Linked DNA regions of Diceros bicornis minor. The protein of the gene in region 2 binds, or shares a complex with, the protein of the main gene of each other region. Links are inferred from orthologs where the notes say so. Each region holds a gene or a part of one and is shown on either strand. Other genes may lie near its edges. The genes, in order: CCM2 and MAP3K3.

Region 1 (15,810 bases), on a different chromosome or scaffold from region 2:
TTCAGATATTTGCTGTGAAGCTCTTTCAACTCTGGCGTATCCAAAAATTTTCACACTAAAATGCTGGGTGCAGAGGCTGGAAAAAGCAAACAGTGGCTGTATACACCTCTTCCAAACAGTGGGGCTGAAGATGCACAATATCAGGGGCAAAGAGCCTTAGAACAGAGCCTGAGATGGGTCTGACACAGGATGTACGATGGGTAGGTCTGCTGTGGCTGCCATGTGTACCACAGAACATAAAATGTAAGAACTGTTGAGAGTAACATGTCTACACAGTAATAAAACAGTTAGACACAGTCAAACCTGGAACATTTCCTGACATGGGCCATGTAGGGTAACATACCTGACACGTAGGTCTGTCCAAGGCATTAAATTAATAACCTGTATCCCCACCGTGTAAACAGCAAGGGAAAAAAGGAATATTCTAAACCACAGCTGACTGCACAGTTCATGGTAACAACATGCAGGAAGCATATTAGATTTCTGGAAAAAGCTAGCATGGAATTTTAAACTATAGAATGGATAATAAAGATTCAAAGAATATAAGTTTCTCTCTTTTTCTTCTCAGAGTCACAAGTAACAACACAGGTGAAACAGCATCTCCCACCTGAAACAGGTGACTCGCACACCGGGTTTTCCTTATGAACAGCAACACAACAGGGTCAGGCTCACCACTGTTCTCGTATGTTCAGAATTCAACTATGCTTTCCACCTCCTGGGTTACAAGACACACGGCAGTTCACTATCCTAAGCCTCAAACAAAAGCCCAAATTCCAACCTCCTACTGTACTTATTGAAGAGGATTATTTTCACTGCACGCCTGCGATCAAATGCCCTAATTTTTAACACGATCCAGCAAAAACTGCTACTGTTCAGGCACACTTAGGAGGAAAAACTGTAACATTTTTGGCACTGGCACAGAGCTAAAGAAATTTCCTTTTTATTTCTACTAAATTGACAAATACAAAGCTAAATTCCCTTACAACCGCATAATCATTAAAACTGAGCGCATTTCAAGAGCCGTTGCTCTTGGATTGAGGACTAAGAAAGAGCAAGCCGAGCAGCAAACAGTGCCAAAGCAGAGCAGTGACGCAGGAGCCACGCAAAGATGGCACGAGGCTCAGCGCACCCCCCTGCAGACCTTAGGCGGAAAGCCCATCATGGGCCACAGGGCACAGCGAGCGTGCGGTCTGCGGCCCACACAGAGCACAGGGTGGGTCATCCTGCTGCTCTGAGTAGCTCATCTGTGTCTGGTGCAAGAGTGGAGGCCAGGTCCTCAGAACCGTTGGGCTAGGTTGAGACTGATTCCCACCACGCAGTCCTAGCACTGGGCCACTGAACTAGACATCAGGCTGACAACTAGGATTTGCTTCAGAATATCCTGCTTAGTCTGCCCTAACAAACACCACAGACCGGGCAGCTCAAACAACAGACATTTATTCCTCACAGTCCCGTAGGCTGGAAGGTGGAGATGAAGGTGTCAGCAGGGCTGGTTCCTCCCGAGACCCCTCTCCGTGGCATGCAGACAGCTGTCTTCTCCCTGTGTCCTCATATGGTCTTCCCTCTGCATGTGCCTGTGTCCCAATTTCCCCTTCTTATAAGGACACCAGCCAGATTGGATCAGGGCCCACTCTAGTGACGTCATTTAACCTAAATCATCTCTTTAAAGGCCATATCTCAGACCCTTTCTCCGTTGCTGGGGACTAGGGCTTCCACATATGAATTTGAGGAGTACATGGTTCAGCCCATAACACCTGGGGAGCAGGGGTGGATGAGGAAAAACTGAACCTGAAACAAGCTGCCCATGCACCAACCATGTTTGAAGTTGGGGCACGGGGATGTCATTACAACATTTTCTCTATGCTTCTACTTGATGTCTTCATAACAACAAGGTTTTCTTATTCACTCTTAGCAAAGCACGCTTCCTAAAGTTCCACCCTCACCTGTCCTCTGAGCTCCACTTCAAGCTCTGCGGCCACAGAGCACATCCAACTCACCCGTCTCCCCAGTATCTGCGCCTGGCACATAGTCCATGCCACTGAACGGTTCTTAAAAGAATAAATAAAAACCTCCAGTGGCTTCAGCTGCACACATGACTAAACCCAAACTCCCCCACCACGCCCCCCAGCCCTCCCAGCACTGCGGGGCCTCGGTCTCCACCTCTCCTGCTTCTGAACGTCACGTACATGGTCCCCCACGTGGAATTAGCTGACACCCACCCATGTCTCTCCTGACACGATGGCACTGGCCCTCTCTCATTTTCTAACGTTGTGTGAGCAGCTTACTCTTCAAAAAGAATGCAGTGTCCTCAACCCTTCTTGTCACTATAGTAAGCATGTAATAGACACTCAAATAAATAAATAGGATGATTTCATGCTGATCAGCTAAATCTACGGTACTTAACTGTGGCTGTTAACTAACACGAGAGTGGTGATGAGGATGGAGGAGTTGGGTTATTATTGCTGACAGAAATGAAGAAATGTTAAGACCAACAGTAACTGCAGTGACCAAACTCACTGGGTACAGAAGGCACTTGTCCCCAAACTCATGAGGCAGAATGCTGAACGCCCTTCTCATTTCAGAGCAGCCCCCCACTGCAGTACCACTGCTAAGAGAAAGGTTTCCCTCTACACTATCTTCCCCTCGATGACGCTCAGAGCAGTAACTGAGAAGCACTACAAGATTCTGATGTGCTTTCTCAATCTAAATCGTCACAGTCAGTGGGTAACAGAATCTGGGTCCAGGGACTATATAGATCCTTACGTGGAAAATTAATAAATACATGATACTATATAAATAGTAACTCTCCAAACCAGAGAGGAATGAGCCTCATGTTTGCCGGTCATTCCAGACTCGTCTAACCTATGGTCTCCACCAGGCACCTTCTGCCCTGGTCTTCCGGCCTCCTCACCCTGGGGCGCCACGTTGCCCTGCAAGAATCACTGTGACAACTATCTAAGAGGAAAGATATAACAAGGTATAGAGGCCCAAATTCACTTTGCTAACCCATGTTACGGCTATGACAGCTATAGAATCAATTCAGTTATAAAAGCAATTTAGTAGGTCATGACCAGCAGTATTTTTAATGAGAGGAAAAAAAAAAAAGAATGGAATAAAAAAATCAGAGAGCATTGCTTGTAGTAAGCACCATTTCTTTAAACTTTCATTTCAGCTATAAACATTTACACACAAGTGCACACATCAGTGGAGAAGGTATGGCTGTCTGATGGCTGGAGTTACAAAAGTTTTAAAGGCAATGGTCCAGCCCAAGCTCCCAGTTCTTCACAGACACTGGCTGAAGGAGGATTCTGCAGGTACATGAGCTGATAATCCAGGGCCCATAACCTAGGGGATCTTTTTCTCCCCTTTTATATGGAAACTCTCAAAATTTCACAGAAGTAGACAATATAATGAACACCCATTGCCAAAGAATTCAGCTATCTCTCCTCTTTTTTTTCCTAGTTTGAGTAAAGCAAATCTCAGAAATCATAGTATTTCACCTATAAATACCTCAGTATCGATGTCTATCAGATCAGAACTTGACAAAACATATTACAACTATTATACCCAACAAAATCAATAATTCCTAATTATCATTTAATATCCAGTCCCACATTTCTAGTGTACCTTATAACCTTTTTTTTTATTTAAAGAATGCAACTAAAGTAGATCAATTTAAAAATATTTAACTTTGTTCAGGTTGAAATCATGGCCACCAGTAGTGCGACCCATGACCTAACAGCAGGAGAAGCAGCAGAAGCCATGACCCAAACAGGGTTGAGGCCCAATGGTGACCTCCCACAGCTGTGACTTCTCATGGGCTGTGACACTCATGTGAGTCAACTGTTTTTCTAAAAATGCACACAATCCAACTCAAGTGTACACCTAAGTTTCTTATAAAAAGAAATTACATCCTAACAGAATAGTGTCGAAACACATGGAACTTGGGTGCGTTTTGTAAGGAGGCAGCCTTATTCTCCAAACCCCAAATCAAGACTTGTGGTCTGAAAGGTACCAGTCACTCTGGGGACATCCAGGCAGGAGAGTGACCCCGGTGGTCGTTCCTACTCCCCGGACCCCACATCTCTAGCAGCCAGTGGACTTCTCTGTCCACACACTCATCCCGCAGACGTACCACGACCTATCCATCTCCCCACTGGCTCCACCTGCATCCCCATCACCCAGCGCCTTCCATGGGACATTATAGGGGCTCAAGTCACCCTCACCATATGTGCCAGGGTAGCCTGAGAAAGAACATGGCTGTACCTGGGGCAACTTTATATGAAATCCACTCTGGTCTACTGGGTCTCTGGCAGCTTGCTGATTCCTGCCCTGAGGAAACAGGCCACGTTAGAACAAGCCTGAATAACTGCTTAACAAAACACTAAGACAAGTGTCTGAAGACCAGAAAAAAGCTCACCAATCCACATTTTTAAAGGTTTAAATGTGTGTTTTTTGAAGGAGCTAACTTGGAAAGAGAATTTAAATGTCTAAACTGTACTTCCATAAAACTATTGTCATTACTTCTGCTGTTTGAGCTTGAATTTGTGTATAAGTTTTAAAATAGGTATCTCTAGTTCATTTACCATAATGAGAACAACTTAAGTACCAAATTTCACGAGTTGGAAGTGACTTCACATCGACTAGGGGAGCAGGGCAGGAAGGTTCTGCCAGCTTGCGACTGGCAGAGAGCAACGGGCACAGTGTGCTAAGTTATGGCCTGGATAAGAATCCGTGCCCCAGAGCTCTCCGTCTGGCCTGCCCGTGGGAAAATGAGCTGGGGCAGTGGCAGCATAGACAACACAAAACTCCAGGCTCAGGCAACTAGCTGACAACTGATTATCTCCTCTAACAGAGACAATGAAATTCATCATTAACCTTCTCTATGCCTAATCTTTCCATTGCCCCCAACTCCAAAATTCTTGAGTTTTACTGGTTTTTTCACTTCCACTCCAAAACCTCAGAAATGTCTTACTGCTTCTGTCACTCTCAACATTACTCAATGTTTTAATGTTTCTACCAAAGCTCGTAGAAGGCTCTAGAAGAAATTCAGTCAATCCCATCCAGGTTAGCACCCACTTGAAAGGAGTGACTCTCCTTACCAGGCACTGTCTGGCCTGATTGTGGAAGATGTTGTGTGGCAAGGACTGGTGTTTGCGGGGAGTGAGCTAACTATTCTGTAGAATGCTGGCAGCCAAGAGCACTGGGGACAGGCCATCTCCTATAAGGGCCCTGGCCCACCTGCCTGTCTGTGACAGAGAAGGAGGGGATTGACTGAATTTCTTCTGGAGACTTCTACCAGCTTTGGTTGAAACATTAAACTCAGCTTTCCTCCTTTGTGGTGGGCAGCATCCCTCTGCAGTCCAATGCTTGTAGGCTGAATTACTTTCTTAGGCTGTTTTCCAGACTTAAACCATCTTTGCAGGTAACCACAACAGATATGGCATTTAAATTAGACATGCCTGTTCATAATGTAACAAAACAATGAGTAAAGAAAGGGAGGGAAGCAGCACCACACAATCCCCCGAAGACCACCTGGTTATACTCGATTTCAAATACGACCTTTTTAAAATGAGGCACCTTGTAAAACGAGGTGATGAGCAATCGTCAACTGAAGGACACAGCTGGCTCTGAAGAGTGGACGGTGGTAAGATCATAGGATTTAGCAAGGTCTGTTTTAAACTTGTGCATAAAAGTGCACACACACATTTATGAAAACGAAAATGGTAAGACATTTAAGCAGATTATAAAGCCTGTATTTGAAAAATATGCATTTAATTGAAACTCACTTTCCATTTTAATGGTAGCTTATCTCACGTGGTTATTTCAGTCTCCTTACAATGTTGAGTTTCTTTACCAACTGCTCTAGCCTGTAATTAAAGCCACATTTTTAAAACTACATAAACTAAGAAGCGTCTGAACTATGTCCGAAATCCAACTGCCAAATGTAATGTCACTAACATCACTCAGCTGGTATTAGGTAGGGCAAAACTAAACCCGTGAACGAGCTGTACCGCGAAGCGCAGCTTTTGCTTTTACTTGATATCAAAAATTGACGCCAACTAAGCGGTAAACGTTTCTACATTAAGCTTACACCCCATTGTCTCTAAGATACCAACCGTGGAAAACTTTCCGGGCCCTAACCGGGGCCAGCTCTTCTGCAGCCACTGGTCACTGACCCGAGGGAAAGGCCATGTGGAGAGCCTAGGTCTGGGGAGAGTCACTGACCGGAAGGGGCGGAAAGGCGTGGCTCTTTCCTCCCCCGCCCGCCGGGCCGGCGGGACCACCTAAGCCCATTGTCCAGGGGCTCGCCTCCTACCCCATCCGCGGAGAACGACTCCCGAGGCCCCGTCCCGGGCCTGACCGGGCGCTGTCCGCCGGGGAACCTCAGCCTTCCCGCCAGGGTCACTACCAACCGTGTGCGCCCCCGGACCTCCGCACGCCGGGCCTCCCCGTCCCGGGCCTCCCCACGCCGGGCCTCCTCAAATCAGACTCCCTTCCCTGGACCTCCCCAAGCCGGACCTCCGCGCACCCCACACCAGCAGACCGAAGGGCGGCCCCGAGGGACCCTCCCCTGTCCCCCCGAGCCCTGGCCCCTCCGCCCGCCTCGCCCTGGGGTCCAGCCCGCCCCCGCCCATGAGGACGCGCCCACGCACGCTCACCTTCTTGCCCTTCTTGCCTTCCTCCTCCATGTCGCCGCGAGCGGCCCCCGCGGCCCGGCCCGCCCCGCCCCGGGAGCCCCACGTAGCCCGCAGCCGCTACATGCTCGCCGGGCCCCCACGGCCGCCGCCACTGCCGCTGCTCCTGCACCGCCCGCTCGGCCGCAATCTCCACCCGCGGCCGCCAGGGGCCGTCGCTGCCCCGCGCCCCGCACCCCGCACTTCCGGGCCGAGGGGCGGCCACGCCCCCGCCACGCCCCGCGATCACGCCACGCCCCCCAGCCCACACGCCACGCCCCCAACCCTTCGGGGCAGCCGGGAACACGCCTGCCCTGCCCCGCCCCTTCAGGGACGCGGGAGCGCGCCTCTTGCGCCACTTTCCCGCCCCACGCGCTTCAGGGAGGGCGAGAGCGGGTCTGCCCCGCCCTCAGCTGCCTCCCGGCCCCTCGTGGCCGTGAGAGCGACTATAGCTTTTTAATTCTGCCGCCATCCTTAGGGCAAGCCACTTCCCAACCTGCCTCGCGCTCAGGGAGGCCAAGCTCAAGCCGATGGGAAACGGAGGGCTTGGCCGGCGGGCGGAGGAGGGCGGGGATCGTGGCAGGCGGAGGGAGGAGCGAGTGGGAAGGGGCGGGGCCTGTGGGAGGTGAAGGCGGGGTCTGCAGGAGGGTGGGGCCTGTGGCAAGGTGAGGGCGCGGCTTGCAGGGGTCCACTCCCTTTCTTTTTCTCATTTTGCCCTTTCATTCCCACTGCCACAGTGTCAACTTTAAAATAAAATAGCCAATTATTTTACTAGCAAAATGAGTTTATTTGGGAATGGCAAAGGAATTGCAATTTGGGACATGCAAACTACAGCGAACCACAAGCAAGTCCAGAGAATGAAAAAGGGGAGCTGGAAGGGGCTATTCTAAACAAAAGTTCACTGGAGGACAGTAAGAGTTCAAGGTGGTGGCTGCTCCTCATTGGCTGAGTTGGGGTGTTTTCCACTGGCTGAGCTTGTTGCCAGGCGAGAAGAAAATCTTCCTTCCTCCTGCTGGGGTAGTAACGTAGTAGCCAAGTTCCTGCTGGAAACACAAGGTACGTTTATTTCCATTTGGGGTAATTGATGATGAATGGTAGGTCGTGTAGAGCTCCCTCTACAGGCTTTCCCAACTCCAATTTTAGTTGAGATTTCCTTTATTAATTTTCACAACCATGAAGACCTTTTCTAAGACTTCTTCTGTTTTTTTGTGTGTGAGGAAGATCAGCCTTGAGCTAACATCCATGCCAATCCTCCTCTTTTTTTTTTTTTTGCTGAGGAAGACTGGCCCTGGGCTAACATCCGTGCCCATCTTCTTCTACTTTATATGGGACGCCGCCACAGCATGGCCTGACAAGCGGTGCATCAGTGTGCGCCTGGGATCCGAACCCGGGCCGCCAGCAGCAGAGCACACGCACTTAACTGCTACGCCACGGGGCTGGCCTCAGACTTCTTCTGTTTCAATGCCTGCGTTCCTTAGACAAACACATCAGGAAAGTGGAAATTCAATAGCAAGCATGTCTGGACCCTATCAGAATAAAATGTAGAACCTCAACAGTCACCTGGAATAACTGCCACCCTTTTACAGATGAGGTCCAGAGAATCAGGTGGTTTGCCCAAAGCACACTGCAAATTGGAGCCAGCAGCAGCAGGCCTACTATTTTGCCACTAAACCAAACTGCCAATAGGAACCATGCAGCACAGTTAGAATGTAAACTGATGCCAAACAAACCAATATTTGTCTCAACTGATATAATTAAAGTATTGGATCCTGTGCCAGTGTCAATGTATTATCTCTCAGCTCCATATTCACTCTCATTCTCTGCTCTGTGGGATGGCACTGGGCCCTTTGAGCATTCCTCCTTTTCCGCGTGGTCCAGTGTAAAGCTTTGCCAGTAGAAGCTGCTGGGAGGCAGTGTAGGAGGAAGGGGCTTTGCTGCCTGGCTCCAGTGAGCTTTCTTGGCAGGCACCTGCAGAACAAGAGGCCTCTGCAGCACCCACCTCCCAACATCAAGGGAGCTCCTCCAGTACAGGTGCTCCGCAGCATCTGGCTCTGCAGTGCACAGCTGCCAGCAGATTCCCCCAGCATGCACCTTGGGAAGTTTTATATCCAAGTGCTTCAGCAAGACACCTCCCCACGAACAGCTTTCCCTGCCTTCTAGAGGGTGGACTGCAGGTTCTGCCAGCACTTCTCTGCCATTCGGCGAGCTGTAGCTATGCGCTCTCCAAAAGTCTGGATCTCAGCCCTGGGGGTGTAGGGGGGTTTCTTCCCTGGGAGCTTTATCTCAGCCCTCAGAATAGTAGCTGCTCCTTATGTTTACTATTCTTGCATTCTTCAGTTCTCTTCACTTTTACTAGCCAATCTCTTGTTACCCTAATCCCATTATACTTAATAATCCTTTATATTAAATCTTTCCTGTACCATGTTTCTGTCTCCTGACTGGGCGCTATTTGGTACAGATACCAAAGAAATAGTTGGTGTCTAGCACTCCCCAAAGGCATTAGGTATTCCAGTCCCTTTGGCACATAAAGCAGAGCTGCAGGAAATGACCTTTCAATCTACCTTCTGAGATAATTTAGCTTACTACATTCACAGACACAGATAATGCAGGGCATTTGGTACTTATTCTCCCACCATTCTCAGAACAGAGGCCTGATATTTAAGGTCTTCCACTAAGACCTTTCCATACTTGTCACTCTGTAATGCAGTAAATAACACTGCTAAAATTTTCCTTAACCTGTGTTTTAGGAAAAACTCAATCTACTCCTGTATTTCTCCTTTACTCTCACTACTACCACACTCACAACACTTCTGACACCAGATGTGTGGGAGTTTTTCCCATATCATGCAATTCTGTGACACCAGCTGAAAGTCCTACACTTTAACTCCATTCTGACACTGTCTATCTGGAGATCGCATCAGATCCCACAGGTTAAGGACTCAGTCCCACAAGACTGCCCTGCCCCCTACTTCAGATGCCAATCTCAAGTTCAGGTTGTCACATGTGCTTCTGACCAATCAGCTATAAATGAGAGGTTCCCACAACCCCCTCCCTGGGTTTGATTAATTTGCTAGAGTGGCTCACAGAACTCAGGGAAGCAGTTTACTTACTCTTTACCACTTTATTATTAAAGGATATGATAAAGGATATAGATAAACACCCGGATGGAAGAGATGCCTAGGACAAAGTACGTGGGAAGGAGCACAGAGCTTCCATGCCCTCTCCTGAGCAGACCACCCTCCCAGCACCTCCACGTATTCACCAACCCGGAAGTTCTTCGCACCCCAGAATATTGGGGTTTTTATGGAGGCTTCCTCACATAGACATGATTAATTATTAACTCCATTTCCAACACCTCTCCCCTCTCTGGAGGATGGAGATGGTGCTGAAAGTTTTAAATTTCTAATCATGGTCTTTCTGATGACGAGCTCCCATCCAGGAACCATCCAGGAGCCCACCCAGAGTCGCCTCATTAGAAAAAAAGACACTCCTTCCACCCAGGAAATTCCAAGGGATGTAGGAGCTCTGTGCCAGGAACTGGGGGAGAGACCAATATGTGTATTTTCTCTTATCTCACAACCTGACCCTAGGCTGACTCTCCTCAGGCTTCTTCAAATCCACATACACAAGACCAGGCTTCAAGTAAAATTCTGCCTACTAATAATCAGATGGTAATAATTTTGGAAATAAACAAGGACCAACCAAATGAGAACAAGCAAAGGCTATGTGTTCAGAGTTGGCTATAGTGAGAGAGTCACCCTCGTCACTTGGTTTGCAAGAGACCCAAAGGCAGGCAGGGGATGGGGAGAGTTTCATGGTGGAGAAACGGGGGCTCAGGGGTGCCCTGGCATTGTGTGCCTGGGGAAGCTGGAGGTGGGCTAACTAGAAGTGGGGTGTCCTCATGATTGGTTAGGGGAATGTGTTTGACTATCTCTGGTTGGTCCAAAGTAGGAAGTGGGAACAAAAATTAGGGAAGTTGTCAGTTATTCACCAAGTCCTGGTCATTTGGCTCATTTGGATTGTTACAGGAGTTATTGTGTGGCTTCCCAGGTTGTCACTAGAGAAAGCAGCCTGAGTTCCACCAAGTCTGACTTACAGCAGCTGGCTTCCTGTGCTGGTTGCTGCAGGTTGTGGGTCAGAGTTCTATTTTATAATTGGTCCACTCATCATCCATTTGTATACTCAGTCTCTCGTAACAGACCCTGAAGAGGTCAGCTGCAGTGTTAACATGAAACAATATTTCTCCCACGGTCACACCTCAGCTGTAAAGTGTCCTAACAGCCTCCTTCTTTTTCATGGTCACTGCTTTCTTACCAATAACCTCCCTAGCCTTCTCTGTGGCCCCAACCCATGAACAAAAATAACTGAGACCCAATTACTAAATTGTCTGCACTTCATGGAAGCAACAATCTAGAGCTGAGCCTCACTTCCCCTCTCCCCTCCTCGGAATTATTCATTGCAATCCCAAATCTTACAGAACCCCCTTTCTACTCTCATAATGAGAGGCAGCCCAGAATCCTCTGGGCTTCTCCCTTGTTGCAGCAAGTTAATTAACCGAGGTTTGTTGGATGCCTGGTTTGTCCCTGGGGGACTTGGCTGTTGGGCTTTGTCACCCAGCTCAAGTATCACCTCTTCCACTAGACGTTTGGATGCAACTTTTCCCTCCTCCAGCCCCCAGAGCACTTTATTCATATGCCTCTGATGCTGGAGTTAACCATGTTAGGACATTTCCTCTACTAGACTGTAAGTTCCTTTAAAGATAGGGACTGTATGAGATTCCTTTTTGTATCTGAGAAGTTCTGAGAGAAATGGCACACACCTGGCCAGACTAAGATGAAAGGGCACTGATGTTACCTGAACACAGCTTCATACACATGCTTCCTAGCTAGACTAGTTTTCAAGAAACCCCTGAACAACTGAAAATTACCCTCGATTGGCCTACTCAAAGACAGTTTTCCTGGACTCACAGTTTTGCTAGTTTCCAGGTAATTTTTTTTAAGTGAATCTTTTCACTGTTCCCAAGGCTGACTTCAGTTTTTTCCTATTTGTCCCTCTCACCCATCAACTGTCTCCCTCATATAAGAAATAAACAGCTAGCAGATAACTAACTAGATGCCCCTGAGTTGTTCTTTGACATATGTCATGCTACACCTCATACTGTGCTGTGCATGTGATAAATCCAACGTTGACTTAATTAGCAAAGAAGAGAATTTCTTTAGAGTTGATGAAACCAGCAAACAGTTAGCCATTGATGATTAAGTAGCTAGGAACTCAAGTTTTTTTTCCTTTTTGCAATTACTGGTTATAGCTTATAGCTGTTTACCCACCCATCATCAACTGTGCTGTTTAGGCAATATGCTAGCCGACTCACACTAGGTTCCTATAGATAACATCTCCCTGGAGCTTCGATCACCATGGTAATGGGTGTTTGAGCTGTTTTTCAGGAATTAGAACCCCTTGTCCACTTCAGGCCAGTTAAGACCACCAACCCATCAACTGGGCCCACGAACATGTCTGATAAGCAACCTTTTGATGTCAAGAGGCTAAAACTCCACCCTCAGGTCACAGTGACGCTGCCAATTTGTGAACATGCGTCCTATGAAGAGGCATGAAGTCTGACTACACTTGCGCAGATCATCAATTACCTCACCTCCCCTCACCTCCAATCATCTACCTCCACATTTCAGACCACCTTGCCCCCTACTCCATAAATATCCCTGAGTCCCCATTATCGAGGAGGTGGATTTAAGACTTGTTCTCCCGTTTTCCTCACTTGGCTGCCTTGTGATTAAACCCTCTCTCTAGTGCAATCTCGTTGTCTCGGTGTTTGGCTTTCTGGGCGACAGGCAAAAACAAACGTGGTTCGGTAACATTGATTCAAGTGAATTCTCAATGAATTTATACATCCGGTTTCTGAGCCTGTAAATGACAACGGACCAATCTGATAGATAAATGGCAAGCAATAGGATATATTGAGGAATATAGACTATAATGAGGAAGCCACTTGGTGTAAAACTAATTCAGCCTGACCTTGTTTTTCCAGAAGGGCCTGATGTGGCCTTTGAACATGCACTGTATATCTGCTTTAAGGATTTACCATGTCCCAAAGACAAGAACAAATGCCCTTAAGATAAGGATGCAATTTCCCCCACATTGGCATTTCCTCAAGGATAAGCATTCCTCCCTAGGCTAGGATTTGATTGCTGTGCTCATCCTGTGACCATCTAACTTGAGACAACAGACCTTCTACCTGCTGTGCCCATCAAGACAGCAGGCCTGATACCAGCTGCGTCCATCAATCACTGGGCCAACAGGGCCATCTCATGACTTTTGTGAAAAGGACATTGCAATCACATGTGATACATGCTCTTTGACAGTATATAACCACTCTGCACACCCCCACTTCTTTGGAGTGTTCCATTCCTTTATGAAAGGACTCTCCCGGGCTATATGGTCCTCAAATTTGGCTCATGATAAACTCACCCCAATTTTGATTTATAGATTTATAGATTTATAGGTTATGGATTATTTGCATTGACAAGACCAACTCTAGATCATAATGACCCCTCAGAAGTACAGCCACCCCGTGTGGCCCCAGTGGAAGAAACCTTGCATGCCCTACTTTGATATCTCCTTGGTTATGACTCTCCACATTCTTCCAGAGCCAAATTGCTAATTTTCTTTTCAGGCATATATTCCAACTGGCTTCGAAGAATAATGGAGTTACTCTTTCCAGATGTGGTTTTGGAAAAAGTTCTCAAAATCCTCGTCAGCAGATAAGATACTTAACTAGTGACAGTCCTATCTCTGTGCCAGTCTCATGCAGCCTCCTATAGTATAATGCACTTGAACTTTGATTATGTAGTTTTTAATGTTTGGGCATCCTTTCTTATTACTTGGATAAAAGTTTTGATGGAGCATCTTCCTCTCTCTAGTGAATTTTGTTGGTTATCATCTTAGGAAAAAAAGCTCTTCTCTTTCAGCCCTGGGAGAGCTCACCATTTTTGATCACACATATACACTCACACCCTCACACCCATACTCTGGCCCTCCATAACCATTTACCTTCCTGGTTCTCTTTGATTATCTCATGGCAGAGTGACAGAATGGAAAGAGCAGTGAACTCTGAGCTAGAACAACCTGCATCAAACTCTAGCCTTCTATGAGATCTTGGGTGAATATTAGTTTCCATGTTAGCAATCTGGAAGTGATACTCCTGCTCTCTCTCATCAAATTTAATGAAATAATGGGATTTGTATGCTGTAAACTGCTTGAATGTATATACTAGGTGCTATACATAAAATATGAGTTTCAAGTACTGCTCTGCTTTTCCTTTACTTACAGAACCAAGTTCTCACCTTCCTAGCCTGATAGTCAAGACCCTTGACTGTGTAGTCCTTATCCAACTCCCCTTAGACTTAACTGGATCCCTAACAAGCCATGCTCTTTCCAGTCTCAGGACCTTGCGATGTGCTTTCCTCAGCGGGGGGGGGGGGGGGGGGGGGGGGTGCGGATAACTAAAAACAAAATCTCCTCCCAACTCAGAAAACCTCTTCACAAAAGGAGAAGAGAAAGAATTTTATTGAACAAGCATTAAACCAGAATGTGATGCGCATCACAGGCAATCCACTCAAGGGATACAAGGACAGAAAGAAAGCTCACTCTCCTATACAGCTAAGTGGACAGAGCCCATTACACTAGATAGCTTGTGCAATTTGGAGTCAGGTGACAAGTGGGCCCTTAACATTCCAGGACACCGGAGATCGCGCTTTGTCCCCCTTGACAATTACATTTCAAAGTCAGAGCTCCCGGGTCCTTGGGAAATATTCCTGACTTGTGAGACTAGCCTGGGCTTACCTAGCCATTAGGGGTTTATCTCCATTTGAAAAGTGCAGAAAATGACATTCTGAAAGCAAAGAGGCTGTCTTCCCCCTTTTCAACGGGGACGATCCCGCGTCCCGCTCCTCATTTCTGGGGCCTTCCGCCCGCCCCGCTCCCCTCCCGGTCTCCGGTTCCTTTACAAGGCCCACCCCCGCTCCTTCCAGCCCCTGTCCCCACCCAGCTTCCGCCGGTACCACACTTCTGCCAGCCATCCTCAGAGAAGACCGCGCCCGGGCCCCTACGTGACGTCATCTCCCTGGGCCGCGCCGGGCCCCCGGGTCACGTGACGACACGTGCGGCCTCCGGCGGCCCGCGTGATGACGCAGGCTCGGGCTTGCCGGGTAGCAGCTATGGCTGGTGGTTGAAGCGTGTTCCTGCGGCCGCGGGCTGCTCCTGGCCATCGTCGTCATCCGAGGCCATCGAGGGTCCCAGGCCGTGCTTGCCCTCTGCTGAGGCCGGGTAAAGATTGTGGGGCCTCGGGGCCCGGTGGGAGGGCGCGCTGGCCCCTCAATTGTCGCGGGCTGGGCTGCGTCGGGCGGGTGGGGAGGGATCCGGAGGTACCTAGCCCGGCCCGGTCGGCCCTGCGGCGGGCGGGGGTCTCCAACCGAGCTTGTGAGGGTCCCATTCGGAGGACACATGCGGCCTTAGGGGCAGCGCTGGGGGAATGGGGTTGTGGGTACGGCCTGCCCCGAGGAGGAGGACTCGGGCGCGGTAGGAGGCCGGCTTGAGCTGGCGGCCTGCCTTCCAGGGGTCGGCCCTCGACTCGGTCGCAGTAGTTCGTCGCGGGGACGCGCTGCTGAGTGACGCTGCGCGGGTCCCGCGTCCACCCCGCCCCGAACCATGAGCGCATGGGCCTCCTGTTCTCTCCACCGTTATTTCACCGGGAGAACCGAGCCTACTTCTGTGTCTTGGCCTACAGTTCCGAAGTGTTTGCTGAACGTAAAATACATACCGAGAAGAACGTGGAAGAAAAGGCCATTTTGTGTAATGATGTGATGATAGGAATGTTTCTGCGGTCGCATAAGTGTAGGAACCTCAGCTCTAGACTTACACGGTCATAGGGAGTACACTTAGCTCCCATCGACTTATCTGCTTGATAAGGCTCTCTCTCCCGAGGCTCCTTCCCTCGCTCCCTCAGCCAGAAAGGATCTGTGTCTGGGGTCCATCGCTTCCTACCATCGGCCCGAGTTACTTGTGCTCGTGCGCTCGTGGAAGAAACGCACGTAGGCCCAATTCAACCCTATGGTCTCTT
Region 2 (15,710 bases):
GTATCTACAGAAAGACCTGTTAAAATTAAAACACATATATCCCATCAATTACTTTATATTTTCTAGCAATTTCCCTACAGGCTTCTTAAAGAAAGGGCACTTGCTTGGTTTTTCATTTTTTAACCTCCCAACCAAGGTTTAAAAACTAGAACATAACACCTAAGCTAGGAAGATTGGTTTATACATATATAATATACAGAGGCTTATATATTAAATTGGCTTATGTATTATTAAATATAATATATATGTATAAAATTATTAGGCAACTGTAACAGTAAACTGGGATCATTATAAGGAGGTTTATGACTAGGTAGGTGTTTTCTGAGGAGCATCAAGAGAGATTCCCAACAGCAGAATGCATGGAGTTTTCCGTATCAAGATAACCAGCCTTAGAATTGAGAATTTCAGTTGTTGTCTCAACTCAGATAGTGAAACAAGATGGATGTGAACACACACAGACACACACACACACACACACACTTTTCAAGTCAAATCTACGACAAGTATGACTAGAGAAATCATTTCTAATTCTGTATAAGATGATTCTATTATAAGAGCTGGTTTATCAGGTTGACAAATTCTGTTTCCAGGAAGCTAACCAATTCCTGGCATTACTTAATGGATAAACTTGTTTGGTAGTTCCAGTGCTGAGAACACACTAGAGGAATGGTTTGGCACTATCTCTTGAAATCCAGGACAACAGACATAAGTGAAACAGGGTTATAGAATCTGATTTTGTGTCGAATACATTGCTAGAGGCAGACAGGTTCTTAAACTGATACTTCAAACTGAGGACATGGATAAAGACAGGAAGTAAATCAAGTGGCTCTTTTAGGCATTTCTTCCTGGATTGAGATTTTAACTGAATTATCAGCACTCCAGTATGGCATTCCTTAAAAAATAAAAACAAACAAACAAAACTTTTAAAAACAGCAGCTTTCTTAGAGTGCAGCAGTCAGATATATGGACTTTGGAGTCAGAAAGACCTGGATTTAAGGAGGCCTTGAACAAATCACTTATTTTCCCTCAACCTCAATTTCCTCATCTGCAAAACGGAGATAATAAAAGTATCATTTCACAGAGCTTCTGTGAGAGTTAAACAAAAAAAAAAAACTTTCAAATCATTCCTCATGACACCTAACCCCTGGTAATGCTAAAAAAAATGCTGGCTATTATTATCATCAATGGAAAAAGGTCAATGGGAAAAGACTGGAGGCCGCTTAATCAATCCTAATACTTAATTTTATTCATGAATTTTTATTAATATTAACAATAACCATTTACTGAGTACCTATCATGTATTATACATTAGATTGTTTTTGAAAGATATTTCAAGGTATTCAAACTCTAGGGGTAAAAGGATAGATGACACACAAATACAAGGTTATACAAATAAAGAGATTGAATTACACAATATACAAACCAGAGTACATAGATGCACATGTGTAAAAAAATTTTTTTTACAATGTGAGTAGCAAAAGCTTGTAGAGATGATTTTACAAAATTATTAACAGAATAAAGATTCTTTCAGAAAAGCAAGCTGTTCCAGCTATGCAGGAGAGCTTAAAAAATGAACTGAGGAGAGAAAGGTCATGAAAGTAAGTGAGGGGCAGAGGGGAAGAAAATAGAGTCAAGGACTGATCCTCAGTGAGTAGTAATCCGTATCGAGTAGAGTAGGAAGAAGGTATGCTGGCAAATAAGCCTTAAAGAGGATTAGAAAAAACAAAAGAGTGACACCACAGAAGCCAGGACCAAAGAAGGGCAGCGGCAGGCATAGGCCAGGCAGATCCAGCAGAGTGGTAGAGGCAGAAACAAAATTTTAAAGGGAATCAAGAAGCTGGAGATGAAAAGAAAATTGGAAGTACTGGAAATCAACAATGCATTTGTGAACTTTACATGTGAACAAGTTGAGGCACGGGTAATAGTGTGCTATAACCCCGAAAAGATTTCCAGAGGATGGGGGTGGTCTGAGCAACTAGGAAGAAGCACAGAGGAAGAAGTTCACTCTAGAGATTAAGAGGTTAAGAATCTAGAGGGGAGGACTATTCATAGAAAATAGAAAAGATGGGCCGCCCCGTGGCTTAGCGGTTAAGTGCGCGAGCTCCACGAGCTCCGCTGCTGGCAGCCCGGTTCGGATCCCAGGCGTGCACTGACGCACCGCTTCTCCGGCCATGCTGAGGCCGTGTCCCACATACAGCAACTAGAAGGATGTGCAGCTATGACATACAACTATCCACTGGGGCTTTGGGGGCAAAAATAAATAAATAAATTAATTAATTAAAAAAAATAAAATACAAAAGAAGGGATCTATGAAACAAGGATTAGAGTCCAGGCTTAAAAACTGGAAGCTCTTAAGCAGACAGATATCTATAATCATCCAGCAGCGCGTACTTTTTCTTCTCCTCATACCCTGACCTATGGCATGGAGGCTGCCAGGCAACACACTCTTCTCTCTTGAGCTCCAGGAGGAAGTCACTCTTCCAGACTGAACTATTACTTCTCTCTAAAAGCAGGGTCTTAACGCACTCCCATTCATGAATTCCCTTGGCTAAAAACCCAGAAAAGTCTCCAGAAGCACCATGTCCTTCAATAAACATTGTTGTCCTACATGATGTCCCTTTACTATGCCAGACACTCTTTTCCATATATACACATCCCCAAAGTAATATTTTAATCTTTGTTTTCACTTAACTAACAATGTTATTTCTTCATCTTGTCAACGCTCTACCCCGCTCTGCCAGATCATCTGATCACACTGCTCACCCAGGAGATCCTGTGCTTCAGAGTGTCGCTGAGTCAGATTTTACTATCTTACTCTTCATGACATTTCATATACTCCCACTGCCTCTACCCAGTCCATACCTGGGCAAACATCATTTTATAGCAAATATAAGCAAAAAGGCCCCAGCATCAATTCATAAGAAACTTGTTTCCTTCAAGGACATGGTTGAACCTTTGCTAGAGCTCAAAGTCAAATTCTTGTGTTTATTTTCTTTTTCTGGGATATAACAGCCCTTCAATACTAATTGATGGTGGTCCAAAATTTAAAAATGCATATTACAAAGTAAGCCACTGCTTCCTCATAAGAATCAATATATTACCACTATATTTTATTTTAATGTTTAATGAAATTAAATCAAAGGCCTGAAGACTATAGGGTTATGTATGTCATTCCCTGAACTATAGAATCGCTCCTTCCTGTGTACCTTTACACAGTTTTGACAAAGTACCTACGACACCTATTGCACTTATTTGTTTACATGTTTTTGGTTCACCTTACCTAACTGTAACTTCTTAAGGACAGAATAAATGCAGGTACAGGGCCTAACACTGCCCCTGACACATAAGAGACATTCAATAAATGGGCAAAGAATAAATGGATAGCTTACATAGATAGAACCAAGAAAACTGCTTCTTATCCTTTGTGTATTCCCCTAAGTAATGCTCAGTTGGACAGATACTTGCTCTTTACAAAAGCCTAAAATTCAGTTTTAAAATCCGACTATCAATTTTGAAAATATCAGAAATCTAGTTGTGACATAGCCATGTTGATTCATTAAATTGGGATCCCAATTTCAATCAAAACAGTTGCTAACGATTCCGAGTCTACACACGTGGTCAGATTCTAGCCAAACTGAATTGAGACTGATCTAACTAGGAGCTCCCAACAGACTTGGAACTCTAGAGACACAAGGTGTCTGTAAATCACAGTGATTCTGACTTCAAACCAAGCTATCAAACCAGAACCACACCACCCTTAATCCTGTACTCAGTTCACTATAGTTTCCTGTAACATTTCTAAGTTGTTACATACTTTTCAGTAATACTTCCCACTAAGTTTCAGATTGCATTTATGAAAAATCCAAACAGGGGCCGGTCCGGTGGCGCAGCAGTTAAGTGTGAGCTCTCTGCTGGGGCAGCCCGGGGTTCGCAGGTTCGGATCCCGGGCACGCACCGATGCACCACTTGTCAAGCCATGCTGTGGCGGTGTCCCATATCAAGTAGAGGAAGATGGGCGCAGATGTTAGCCCAGGGCCAGTCTTCCTCAGCAAAAAGAGGAAGATTGGCATCGGATGTCAGCTCAGGGCCAGTCTTCCTCACACACACACAAAAAAATCCAAACAAATGCTAGTAAATTAATCTCAGGTATTATTAACAGCATTTGCCTATAATTACTAAAACTAGGAGAGAATTCTAGTGTGACCAAGAAAAAATGACCAGTCAAGCCCCATTTTTTTTTAATAACCACACAGTATCAAAGCCAAAAAAAAGAACATTTCCTATTATTTACAGGGATAAGTGTAGTTTCCACTAGAAATTTACTGGGGCTAACAGCCAATATAAAATCTGACCTGTTTTTATTACCAACCCAAGTTGTCAAACAGGCTTGAGTTTGGGGCTTAGAACAACTCAGGAAAATACGACCCTTAACCAAAGAACCTGCAGGGCAGGGACTCAAATTAGTTTTAGTTCTTTCCTCACTGGGCTGGAGTTTAACAAGTGTAATGAGAATATGAATAAGTCCATGTTTCTCTCTCATCAACCACCTGAGTTCATCTAGAACCACAGCAACTAAAACCTGCGAATTTGAATTTTCATCATTTATACCACCAAAACGGACACTAGTATTTAAGCGAGAGACTGTGTGTGTATGTACATATTTATCCTTGCTGAGCCCTACATAAAGAGCCAGCTTCTGGGAGAATTCAGTATTAGCTCTAATTGCATGTCAAGGTCATCTACAAAAGACGGAGAGAATGGTATGCGGGGGTAGGGGAGAGTTCTGAAGAAAGCCAGGCAGTGGTTCTTTTTTTTTGGGGGGGGGGGCGGTGAGGAAGAGTGGCCCTGAGGTAACATCTGTTGCCAATTTTCCTCTTTTCGCTTGAGGAAGATTATCCCTGAGCTAACATCTGTGCCAATCTTCCTCTATTTTCTATGTGGGATGCCGCCACAGCATGGCTTGCTGACTGGTGTGTAGGTCCACGCCCAGGATGGGAACCCTCGAACCCTGGGCCTCCGAAGCAGAGCACACAAACTTAACCACTATGCCACGGGGCTGGCCCCCAGTCAGTGGTTCTTTTTTTTTTTTTTTTTTTAATTTATTTTTTTCCCCAAAGCCCCAGTAGATAGTTGTATGTCATAGCCGCACATCCTTCTAGTTGCTGTATGTGGGACGCGGCCTCAGCACGGCCCGAGAAGCGGTGCATCGGGGCGCGCCCGGGATCCGGACAGGGGCCACCAGTAGCTGAGCACGCGCACTTAACCGCTAAGCCACGGGGCCGGCCCTAGTCAGTGGTTCTTAAACCAGCTTGCCTAATATACTGCAGCCACCAAATGAGAAGACACTGAGTTTCTGGTCCTTTTTTCTTTGGGGATCTAGATCCTACCTACATAGTTCCTTTCCTCCCCATCACCGTCTCTCCATATACTCACATATTTAAATTTTTTGAAAATGTCTTGAAATGTGAAAACAGGCTGACATCTATTTTCATGTTAGACTATGAAATGTAGCCAACACATCTGGGCACTCTAACTAGTTTAGCAGTCAAGAAAGTGGGGGAGGGGGGAGTGCCGGCCAGCCCTGTGGCTTAGTGGTTAAGTGCGCTCGCTCTGCTACTGGCAGCCAGGGTTCAGATGCCAGGCGCACACGGACACACCGCTTCTCTGGCCATGCTGAGGCCGTGTCCCACATACAGCAACTAGAAGGATGTGCAACTATGACGTACAACTATCTACTGGGGCTCTGGGGAAAAAAAAGGAGGAGGACTGGCAATAGATGTTAGCTCAGAGCCGGTCTTCCTCAGCAAAAAGAGGAGGATTAGCATGGATGTTAGCTCAGGGCTGATCTTCCTCAAGAAGGAAAGAAAGAAAGAAAGAAAGTGGGGAGTGGGAGGTCTGCACACCGCCAAGTATTTCACACCCCCTTTGGGGCTTAAGACTACCCCCACAATTCAAAGATTTAGTTCAATCACCAAATTCTAGAACACAAGATAAATGTTTGAAGCCTGGGGAGGACAAGAAGAATTATGCACCCCATTTATAGTAAATGTTCAATAAGTATTTGTTCAATTACGTAGTTAAATACAAAGCCTTACTAGGTTCCTTTTTTGCCTACTGTCATAGGAGACTTTCCAAAGAGGAGCAAGCACTTCTGAGGTAAGGGAACGAAACAGTAAGCCCAGCAAATGAACAAACCCATCCCTTACTGAATGAGGGGCAGCATGGAATAGAACAAGGCAGTTCATTCAAAGCCAGAGTGTACAGACAGGCTGCAAAAGAATATCTGCCCAATGTGACACAGCATACACTTAACCCCCTACAAAAATGACTTGACCTTGCTATAGGGCAAAGCAAATATTAATGTTCTCTCTTCACATGGGGCACTTCACAGATGCAATGAATGGCTTTGCAAAGGATCCCTTCACTGAAGTTTACCCCTTTATTATTTAGGATAATACCAAATACTTTGCAAAACTTGTGATTGCGGACAAGAGTATCACAATAACTGATTCAACAAGAGAAGCAAAATACATCTAAAATGTTATTTGCTTCTTAATCTAGTCCAACAGGCATTTGCTAAGTTACCAAAAAGGACATGAAATACAATTCAGTTCAAATGCTGCGTGCGGAAGACATTAAAAGCCTTTCTTAGATTACATCTTCACAACAGAAATTGCAAATATTGATAAAAAGGAAATGATTTCATAGAGACTCTTTTGTGTAGCGAATGCTGCTCTCTTTCAAAAGTTACATAATTTCAGGGATACCGCAAGATAAAAATAATGGATGTAAAACACTGCAACCGGATTTTCAAAAAGCAGGATGTGAATTATAACTGGCAGCCCCCGACCAATTCCTAACCTCCAGCAATCTGCGTGCAGCTCGCATTTCTCAACCGTGCTGTTGATAACAGTGATTGCCGTTTTAATCACCTCGCAGCCTATCTCCCGCACGCCCTCCCCTCTGCTCCCGGGCGCGCACAGGGCTCGAGAGCGAGCCCCGGGAACTCTCGCAGGCCGGCCAGTGTGAGCAAAGGGAAGGAAATGACACAGGCAGGAAAAAAAAGCAAATCAAGGAAAAGACACAACAGCAGCTGGGCCTGCACCAGCCTCCAGCCCGGGCCCCACACTGCGCTCTCGCTCCCCCGCCCTCGGGCTCGCGGGCCGGCTCGCTCGGGCCGGAGCGGGCTGCCCCGCCGAGCACGGGCCCTCGACCCGGCCGCCGCTTCCTCGGGACGCGCCCGCCGCGCGGCCCGGAAGGAGGCTGCCGAGGGGGCTCCGCCGGCCGGGACCGCCCCGGCGGGCCGGGGGCGCCAGAACCCCCACCCGGGCCGCGGAGCCGCGAGCGGGGCGGGCGGGCGCGGCGGTCTGCAGCCCCGGCCGGGCGGGCTGTCCATGCCTGTCAGGCGGCGGCCCAGGGTCCTCCTCCCCTCAGCCCGGGGCGGGGCGACGCGAAGCAGCGCGGGCACAGGCCGGGGCGGTGGCGACACTCACCCATGGTGGCGATGGCGGCGGCGGCGGCTTGGGCCCGAGTGTCACCTGCGCAGCCAGGGCTGCATGCCGGGGGCCCGGGCGGCGGGGACGGCAGCGGCCCTGGCTCCGCGCGGGGGGCGCGGGCTGCGCTCGGGGCCCCCGCCGCCTCCCCAGGCTCCGGCTCCGGCTCCGCCCGCGGCCGGGCGCTGTGGCATGGGCAGGGTGGCCCGCTACATCCCTGGCGCTCCTCGGCTCGGCCCAGCCCGGCTTCGGCGGCGCCGCTCAACCCGCCCGCCCGGCAGTCCCTCAGTCTCGCAGTCTCTCCGTCCGGCCACCGTTCTCCACCTCAGGAACGCTCCGAAAAACAAACCGCTGGTCGCGCAGCTCGCCCCCTTGTCTGTCACTCACCCCAGCACCCACCAATCCCAGGGAGTCGCTGGACCTTCGTACCACCCCTACTCACTTCAACAGCCAATAAGAAGAAGGAAGCCGCTGCTCCCACCGCCCCCCCCCCGCTCCCTCCCCAACTCGCTCTCAGCCGCCAGCTAATCACCAGCACCACACGATGAACCATTCCCGCCTACTCTCACAGGATGCCAATGAGTGAAGCCACGGCTGTTTCTGAGGGCTGTCTACCGCCTGCCAATCATCGGAACAGCGCCTGGTTCACTCCGCTGCTAGCCAATCACGTAGAGGCCTCTGAGCACCCGCCTCTGCGCATCCCCCGGGTCTTGGCTGCCCTCTCTCCCCGGAGGTGTTGGTTACTCCAATCACAGCTCGCGCGTGAAGCTCCGCCCACATCCCCACCTCCCGTCAGTCACCGAAGGTTCGGCGGGCGCGCGGGCTGGCGCGGTTCCCCGCCGGCTACTTTGGGCCAGGAGTTTGTGACGGGGGCTGAAGGGGCCCCCTGGCCTCTCGCCCTCCTGGCTCTCGGCGGTCCCTGAAGCCAGCGTCCTGCCCTTCCCAGTGCCCACACCGGGCGCGTAGTAAGCGGAGAGCGTTCTGGCTCTGAGCGCTTCCCGGCGTGTGTCCACCTCTGCCACCGGATCCCCTGGCAAGTCCGCAGCTCCGGTCCAGACGCTGTGCTTGCCCGGAGGCAGGGGCGGCCTCACCACTGCCCGCCTTTTCCTGGGTCTCATACCTCCGAGGCCACACCCTCCGAGGGGCTGGGGTAGTGCTGGAATGTGGGTCCTTGGAAATATGGGAGTTCCGCTGCTGGCCTGGGCCGAAACCAGTAAGTGGCAAAATCAGAGCGGTTCTTTCGGGAAAAAAAAAACTTTTTTTTCTGGTTATAAAAGCAATACAAGCTCTTTGTATTAAAATTGAAAAAGATACTTAAATAAAAATCCCACCCCAGAAATAATTTTATCTTTTTCCTACCTAGATATACAACGTTTGACAAAGATGTCTTCATATTGGTTTGTAGTGTGCTTACATTTTAAGTGTTTTCCTGTGCTACTGAATATTGTTCCAAATCAATTGTACTGGCTGCATGATATTTCAAAATAGAGAGTGAACATAATTAATTTCCCCATTGTTCAACATTTTATACACTCAGATCTTCAGATTCCAAGTCCACCACAATTAATATGGGCTCCCTTCCTCTGGTCCCTGTTCAAGTGTATTATAAATTAGATGCCAGAATAATCTTCCTCAGATGCCATTTTCAACTATCAACTAAGAACATTTAGTGCTGGCTTTGCCTTGGGTGTTGAATCTCTCAAGAATTACCTTAGACTCCCATATTTACAACCCCCACCCCCAATATTTAATCAGGCCTCTTATCCTGTTAGGTTTTTTTTTCTCCAACAAGCTTTTAAGTCCATCATTTTCACTCTTGATTAGATCCCTACCCAGTTTATTGTAGTTCTTTAACTATAATAATCTCTCTTTTCTGGGAAGGGGAGATAAAGGGGAAAGAAAAGTAATATTTATCAGTCATTTACTATATGCCAGGTACATCATCTCATTTAACCTTTTCAATAACCCTGATGTAAGTGATACTATTGGCATTTAAATGATGAAAGTGAAGCTCAGAGAAGTACCATGTCCAAGTGGTAGAGCCAGGATTCCTACCAGGTCCATCTGACACCCAAAGGCCATGTTCTTTCACTAGGCTAGTGTTTCTTGACTGTTTTTTCATTATCACCCCCTAAGGAGAAAATTTTAAATTACTTAAATTCTCCCTAATGAGAGAAATTAAATACTAAGGAATAAGATTTTGTCAGGTAGGGTTGAGCTTTGAAGGCCACATACCACTGTATTATCTGATTTTTTTTCACCCCTTAAGAATCATTTTTCACCTGTTGGGGATATCACCCTGGTGAGAATGCATGTAATAGGCCAGTGCTGGAGGTCACAATCTGCCAATCTGAGGCTCAGATCTGACCCTTAATTTTATTGACCTGTGAGATAAATATTAAAAAGAGACACATTTATGCCAGTGGAAATCTGTACCCACTCCTTTGCCTGTATCCAGAGGTCTATTCAGCAGCTTCTCTTGGAATGTCTAAAACATGTCTCCAATTTAACATGTTTTACACTGAACTCTTGATTCCTTCCCCCCTTCCCAAAAAACCCTGCTCCTCTATCTTCCCAACTGTTACAATACAAACCTAGGAGGAATATTCCTTGATTTCACTCTTTCTCTAACACCCCTATATCCAATCATTCAGCAAGTCTTTTCAGCTTGCTTCAAATCGTATCTGAATCGAACCACTTCTTACCACTACCACCCTAGTCCTGGCTGCCACCCTCTCTCCTGGATGACTGCCTTACCCTCTTAATTGGTCTCATTTCCTCTGTGATCACCCAACAAATGGTTCTCCACAGAGCAGCCAGAGTGATCCTTGTAAAATGTAATTCAGATAATGTCACTCCCCTGCTGTCAAGTCTCCAATGGCTTCCCATCACACTTGGAATAAAACCCAAACTTTGTCGTGGCCTTCCAGGCCCAACAGGAGCTGGCCCCTGCCATCCTCTCCTGTCCCATGTCTACCACTGGCCTTCTTACCATACTTTGAACCTACCAAGTTCAGGACCTTTCACCTCAGGTCCTTTGCACTTGCCATTTGTTCTGCCTGGAATGCTCTTCCTCAAGATGTTCCCATGGCTAATTCCTACATTTCATTCAGGTCTCTGCTCAAACATCAACTACTTAACAGTTCCTAACCACCCCATCCAAAATAGTTTCTCTCTCCTCCGTCATTCTGTATCCCCATATTCTGCCTTATTTTTCTTCATAGTGCCTGTAATTATATATTTGCTTATTTGTCTTCTCTCCACCTACAATGAACATAAGCTATGTAGGAGCAGGGACTTGGTCCTGTTCACTGCTCTATCACCAACACTTAGAATAGTGCCTGGTATATAGTAGAGAACTGCCATACAACTACTAAGCCATAGCTGAAAAGAGCCTTCTGATTTTCCTTCTACTGTTCTAGTAACTGCTTTTTTTGAGGGCTTCATTTCCATTGTCTGTCCCTTAACCAGCCGTCTCAGACATTCTCACACTGCACTTAGCATACTGGACTATCTTCCGAACTCTAGAGGCGTCACTCCTTGCGTATCTATCCCATAGGCACTTTGGACTCCACAGGTCCAAACTGAATTCATCATCTTCCTCCATAGTTCTCTATTTCCTCTCTCCATCTTCAGTTCCCCAAGTTGGATGCCTTCGAGTTGTCTAACTTGGAGAGCTCTTCCTCTCCATTTCCCTTCCCCCAGAGCTAATCTAGACCATGTCTCCAATCTGTCCACTCCTCTCCTGTCCCCAGCTCCACCATCCTAGTTCAAACCACCAAAATCTCTTACTTGGATTAGTGTAACAGCCTCCCAATGTGTGCTTACATCACAGGGTGATCTTTTCAAAACAGACACCTGATCTTGTCATGCTCTGCTTAAAAACTTTATAGTTTCCCATCGCCCTTAGGATAAGTCAAATACAGGAATGTAGCTAAGAAGGCCCTTCAGGAGCCAGGCCATTCTCCAGCCACAAGTTTTTCATTTTCCCACCTCCCCAACCCTATCATTCAAATTCTATATTCTGGCCACACAGAACCACTGGCAATTCCTCAAATATGACTCTCTCCCGCCTCTACACCTCTGCATGTGCTATTTTTCTCTGTTTCAAACTCTCTTTTCCTGCACTCTTGCCTCCACCCCCGTTCTGTCAGGGAAGAACTAAGCATAAACATCACTCTCTCCAGGAAACCTTTCTAGGCAGATACCCCCAAATCTGGGTACCAGAGCACCTGGTACTTTCTTGATCAAAGTACTTGTCCTACTCTAATGTGATTGCCTTTAAGAAAGTAAACACAGAGACAGAAGCTGTGTCATTCAAATTGGTATGTCTAGCATCTTTCATAACACATTCAAAAAACAAGTATTTGTTGAATAAATGAACCTCAAATGGGGATGCTAGTAATTGAATATAATTTCCACAAGTGTGCCCTTTTAGCTATATATTTTATCTGCTCTTTCTATGTTGTTTCTCCCCTCACTCTTCATTTTCCCCATGTGAAGGCTCCCAGCTAGGCCATGCCTTCTCAATTCTGTTCCCCTGGTTTTACACTGAGTAGATGCCCTTGGTTAAGCACCTGAGCCATATCTGACCCCAAAGATCACAACCTACCCTTAGTGCTCAGGACCTCAGAAAATGCTGGTCCCGTTAGGCAGCCCAATCATACACCAGCTGGACAGTTTCCTTTTTTTCTTTCAAGAGCATAGGGACACTTGGACATATGATAGGGAACAATAAATACAAATTAATGAATTCTCAGTGAATTTGGTGTAAAAAAAAAGAAAACAAACCAACAAACTTATCACCTGATTTGAGGAAAATTCTTTTAATTCAGAGGTAAAGTGGAATATATTCAGATTACCAATTCAACCAGTTAGTTTATCTGCATTGTTAAGGAATGATGTACATGGAAAATTTTTACAACCATGATGTTTTATATATTACTGACATTTATTCTAAAGAAGAATCTCTTTCATTTTGAAATTCCATTCTATAAATTTATCCTAAAGAATACTTTGCAAGTGAGCAAAGGTAAAGAATGTTCATTGAAGCATCTTTTGTAAGATAGCAATCCACACCTGATCTTAGCCAAAAGGCCGAGAAGCGATAAGATAGCAATCCAAATGTCAGCTGATAGGAGACTAGTTAAATAAATTATGGTGTATTAATTAATACAATAAAATACTATGTAGCTACCAAAAAGAATGAAGCAGACTTCTCCATACTACCTTCAGGTGTCCATGATATAGTAGGAAGTGGGAAAAAAAAAACAGGTTGTAAAGCAGAAATGTACACAGTGATCACATTTCAATTTTTAAAAATGTTCATTCATACTTGGTGGGAAAAAAGGCCAACATTTATTAAACACTTACTATTAGTAGATACTGTTTTAAATTCTTAACACATATTAACTTATTTCTCAAAACAGCCCTATGAAATAGGTATTATTATCCCCATTTTATAGATAAAGAAATAGGTGCAAAGAGATTAAGTTCTTGTTCAGGGTTGCTAGCAATTGGCAGAGTCAGAGTTTGTTCCCCAGCAGACTGGTTCCAATGACTGGAATAGAGTAGATTGTTAATGGTGGTTATATCTTAGGAGATAGGATTAGATGGGACTTTTTTGTTGTTGTTACATTTTTCTGTAAAGTTTGACTTTTTAAAGAAACAATAAATGTTACCTTTTTGGCCTAGACGAAAGAAAGACAAAAAGAGAAAAAAGTGAAAACTGCTGTCCCATTCACTGTCTGGGGGTAGATAAGAGAGAAAGTGATTTCAGTTAAGACTAGTATGGTATCTATCTTAACACTCTCTTTTGCCAGATCTATTGGCTCATTTATTTTCTCTTCATAGAATGTCTCCAGAGAAGTTCCCAGGGATTCAAATAAAAGTCTAGAAGTTGGCCTCTCTTAGAGTTTGAAGCTTTATTGACTGATATAGTCTAAGCTTCAGAGAGAAAAAAAAAAAAGTAACTCAACCACATAGTTGAATTTCCATGGTTGGCTGGAGGCAGAACCTTCACTGTTCCTGCTCAATTCAGTCGGGGCCTCTGGCAGGGGGGTGGGGTGGGGCACCCACCTACCGCATGAACACTTCTTGTAAGAGTCAAGGCTACGGAGAGAGATACCTCCATCCACTGAAAGGACACTTGAAAGTGAGCCCAAGCCAGCTGCAAGGTGTTGAATGATTCTGTGCTGCTAAGACAATGACCAAAGATAAGGCAAAGGCAAGCCAGGACCAGACTCCGTTCTTCTGACTTTAAGGTGCACCTGACTCCCGGCCTCTCATGTGCTGTCTCCCTAGATGGACAATAATATGACAAATTTTCTTTTTTAAAAAATGCTTCCCCTGATAAAAGTAATACATGATTTTAGAAAATAAAGCTCAGTTATAATATCATCACCCAGATATAACCAGTTTTGGTATTTTGGTACACTTCCTTCTTGTCTTTTTTAAAAAGTTCATATATACAGTATGATACATATTTTAAAATTTGGACCATACTATACATATAGTTTTGCATCTTTGTTTTGCAATTAACATTATATTGTAAACATTTTCTCTGACATAAAATATTCCTTGAAAAATAATTTTTAGTGGCAGAGTAACTCATGCCCTCTCTATTTAACTATTCAGTTATGTAGTTAGTTAACTATTTAATTTATGTAGCTAAGGGTCTCTATACCAGATCTAGAGGCAGAACAGGTCCAAGTAAGGTTTCATTTCCACCTTTCCCATATTAACTACAGCAAAGACTGCACCACCACCAGGGGTCAGTGCAGAGCTGTCTAGTATGCCTTGATGTAAGAAAATTAGTTACACAAGAATCCATATTAACAAATCCTATTAGATTAGAGGACTACTCATAGGAGTAGCCAAATTCCCTCCCAGAGTGGGCTCCCATAGTGCATATTTTTCAGATCAGAAATTATCAGAGTCCTCTAAATTAATTTATATTCAACATTTACAAAACAGCTATTTTTATAAACCAAGGTCTATCAGTACAAAGTGTACTATTAGACCTGTTCTCATCTGCTTGGTATGAGATCATTTGTGCATAAAACACTTGGCCTATTTTATAGGTTTGTTATGAAAAGCAAAAAAAAACCAAACAAATGAGGGCCGGCTCCATGGCGTAGCAGTTAAGTGCGCACCAATGCACTGCTTGTCAGGCCATGTTGTGGCAGTGTCCCATATAAAGTGGAAGAAGATGGGCACAGATGTTAGCCCAGGGCCGGTCTTCCTCAGCAAAAAAGGAGGAGGATTGGCATGGATGTTAGCTCAGGGCTGATCTTTCTCACACACACACACACAAAAAAGTATCTTGTAAATTATGAAGCAGCATTTAAACTTGAAGTTGCCCTATTTCAATGATGTGCTATTCAGATATTTGGATGAGTTATGTCCTATAAAAACTAAAGAATCCCAGGTAGTATCAGGATTCTGAAATGAGGTATAAGAGCATATGCTTTGGCATGATCATGGATTATTTCATTGCTTTTCCTCCCCCTAGCCTTTGCTCTCCAGCTGTTGAAGTCACTATGGAATTAGTAATCTGTTTTTCCTAGAAGCTGAAGTTAACATTTATACCCAATTTGGTGTTTGTTCTTTTCCATCCTCATTTACTTGAGGCTCCTTCAGGAAAATGACTCGTGAGCTCAGAACTGCTTAAACAATTTATAAGTAGGTGAATGACAGGGATCAAAAAGCTACTCCAGGCCCAACATGCTTGATGGGCTACAGCACAGGTAGTTGGCACCCCTGGTCTCTCTAAACCCAGAAGTGATTCTTAGGAGCAAAAGGCACCAAGGGCCCTATTTCCTACCTGGCCAGGCTTCTGACTCACCCCTTCACCCTTCCTTCTGTTCTCCTTTCCTCTCCAGTTTCCTGTGCTCCATCATTTGGCATCAGGGATGAAAAGGAGCTAGGGTTAGGCATTCTGGGGACCAAGCAGCTTTCAAAACCAGCTTGGCATAGCCTTGTCTGAGAGCAGTCCAATCTGCTGACAGGTCCACTCTGACCAATCTCAGAACACACAGGGGCCTGGGCAAAGTAGGTCCTGGTAGTCCCTTATCATTGGCACTTGATTTCCTACTGGGTTAGAGCTTGAAGCTCCCTGGCAGAAGCAGGGCACAGAGGCCACATGAAGAGAACAAGGATGCATGCACAGCAGCTCACACTGCCCTGGGACAGCTCCAGTGGAGAGCAGTCCTGTGT

Evidence for each region.
Region 1: the proteins of MAP3K3 (region 2) and CCM2 are in contact, whole or in part, in a crystal structure (PDB 4Y5O), measured with the Homo sapiens proteins. The link is inferred for Diceros bicornis minor from reciprocal best matches to the Homo sapiens genes MAP3K3 and CCM2. Residues at the interface, in NP_002392.2 of Homo sapiens: Asp2, Glu3, Gln4, Ala6, Leu7, Ser9, Ile10, Met11, Asn12, Asp13, Leu14, Val15, Ala16, Leu17, Glu50, Asp82, His84, Met86, Asn88, Glu89, Leu90, Ser91, Ile92, Leu93, Arg117, Leu119, Leu121, Ser122, Gln123, Asp124; in NP_113631.1 of Homo sapiens: Leu299, Tyr302, Met303, Leu306, Arg307, Ser312, Gln313, Ile315, Gln316, Gln317, Phe318, Ala319, Ala320, Leu321, Leu322, His323, Glu324, Arg326, Glu333, Ile336, Asn337, Gln340, Leu341, Leu353, Phe356, Pro358.

Annotation. Positions count from the first base shown.
Region 1 is NC_080780.1:1,910,540-1,926,349, reverse strand, and holds the start of CCM2 (cerebral cavernous malformations 2 protein), read right to left. Parts: upstream 6,724-15,810; 5' UTR 6,693-6,723; coding exon of another isoform or gene 6,663-6,692; intron 1-6,662. UniProt on the Homo sapiens protein: Component of the CCM signaling pathway which is a crucial regulator of heart and vessel formation and integrity. May act through the stabilization of endothelial cell junctions. May function as a scaffold protein for MAP2K3-MAP3K3 signaling.
Region 2 is NC_080757.1:46,475,568-46,491,277, reverse strand, and holds the start of MAP3K3 (mitogen-activated protein kinase kinase kinase 3), read right to left. Parts: upstream 7,885-15,710; 5' UTR 7,498-7,884; coding exon 7,494-7,497; intron 1-7,493. UniProt on the Homo sapiens protein: Component of a protein kinase signal transduction cascade. Mediates activation of the NF-kappa-B, AP1 and DDIT3 transcriptional regulators.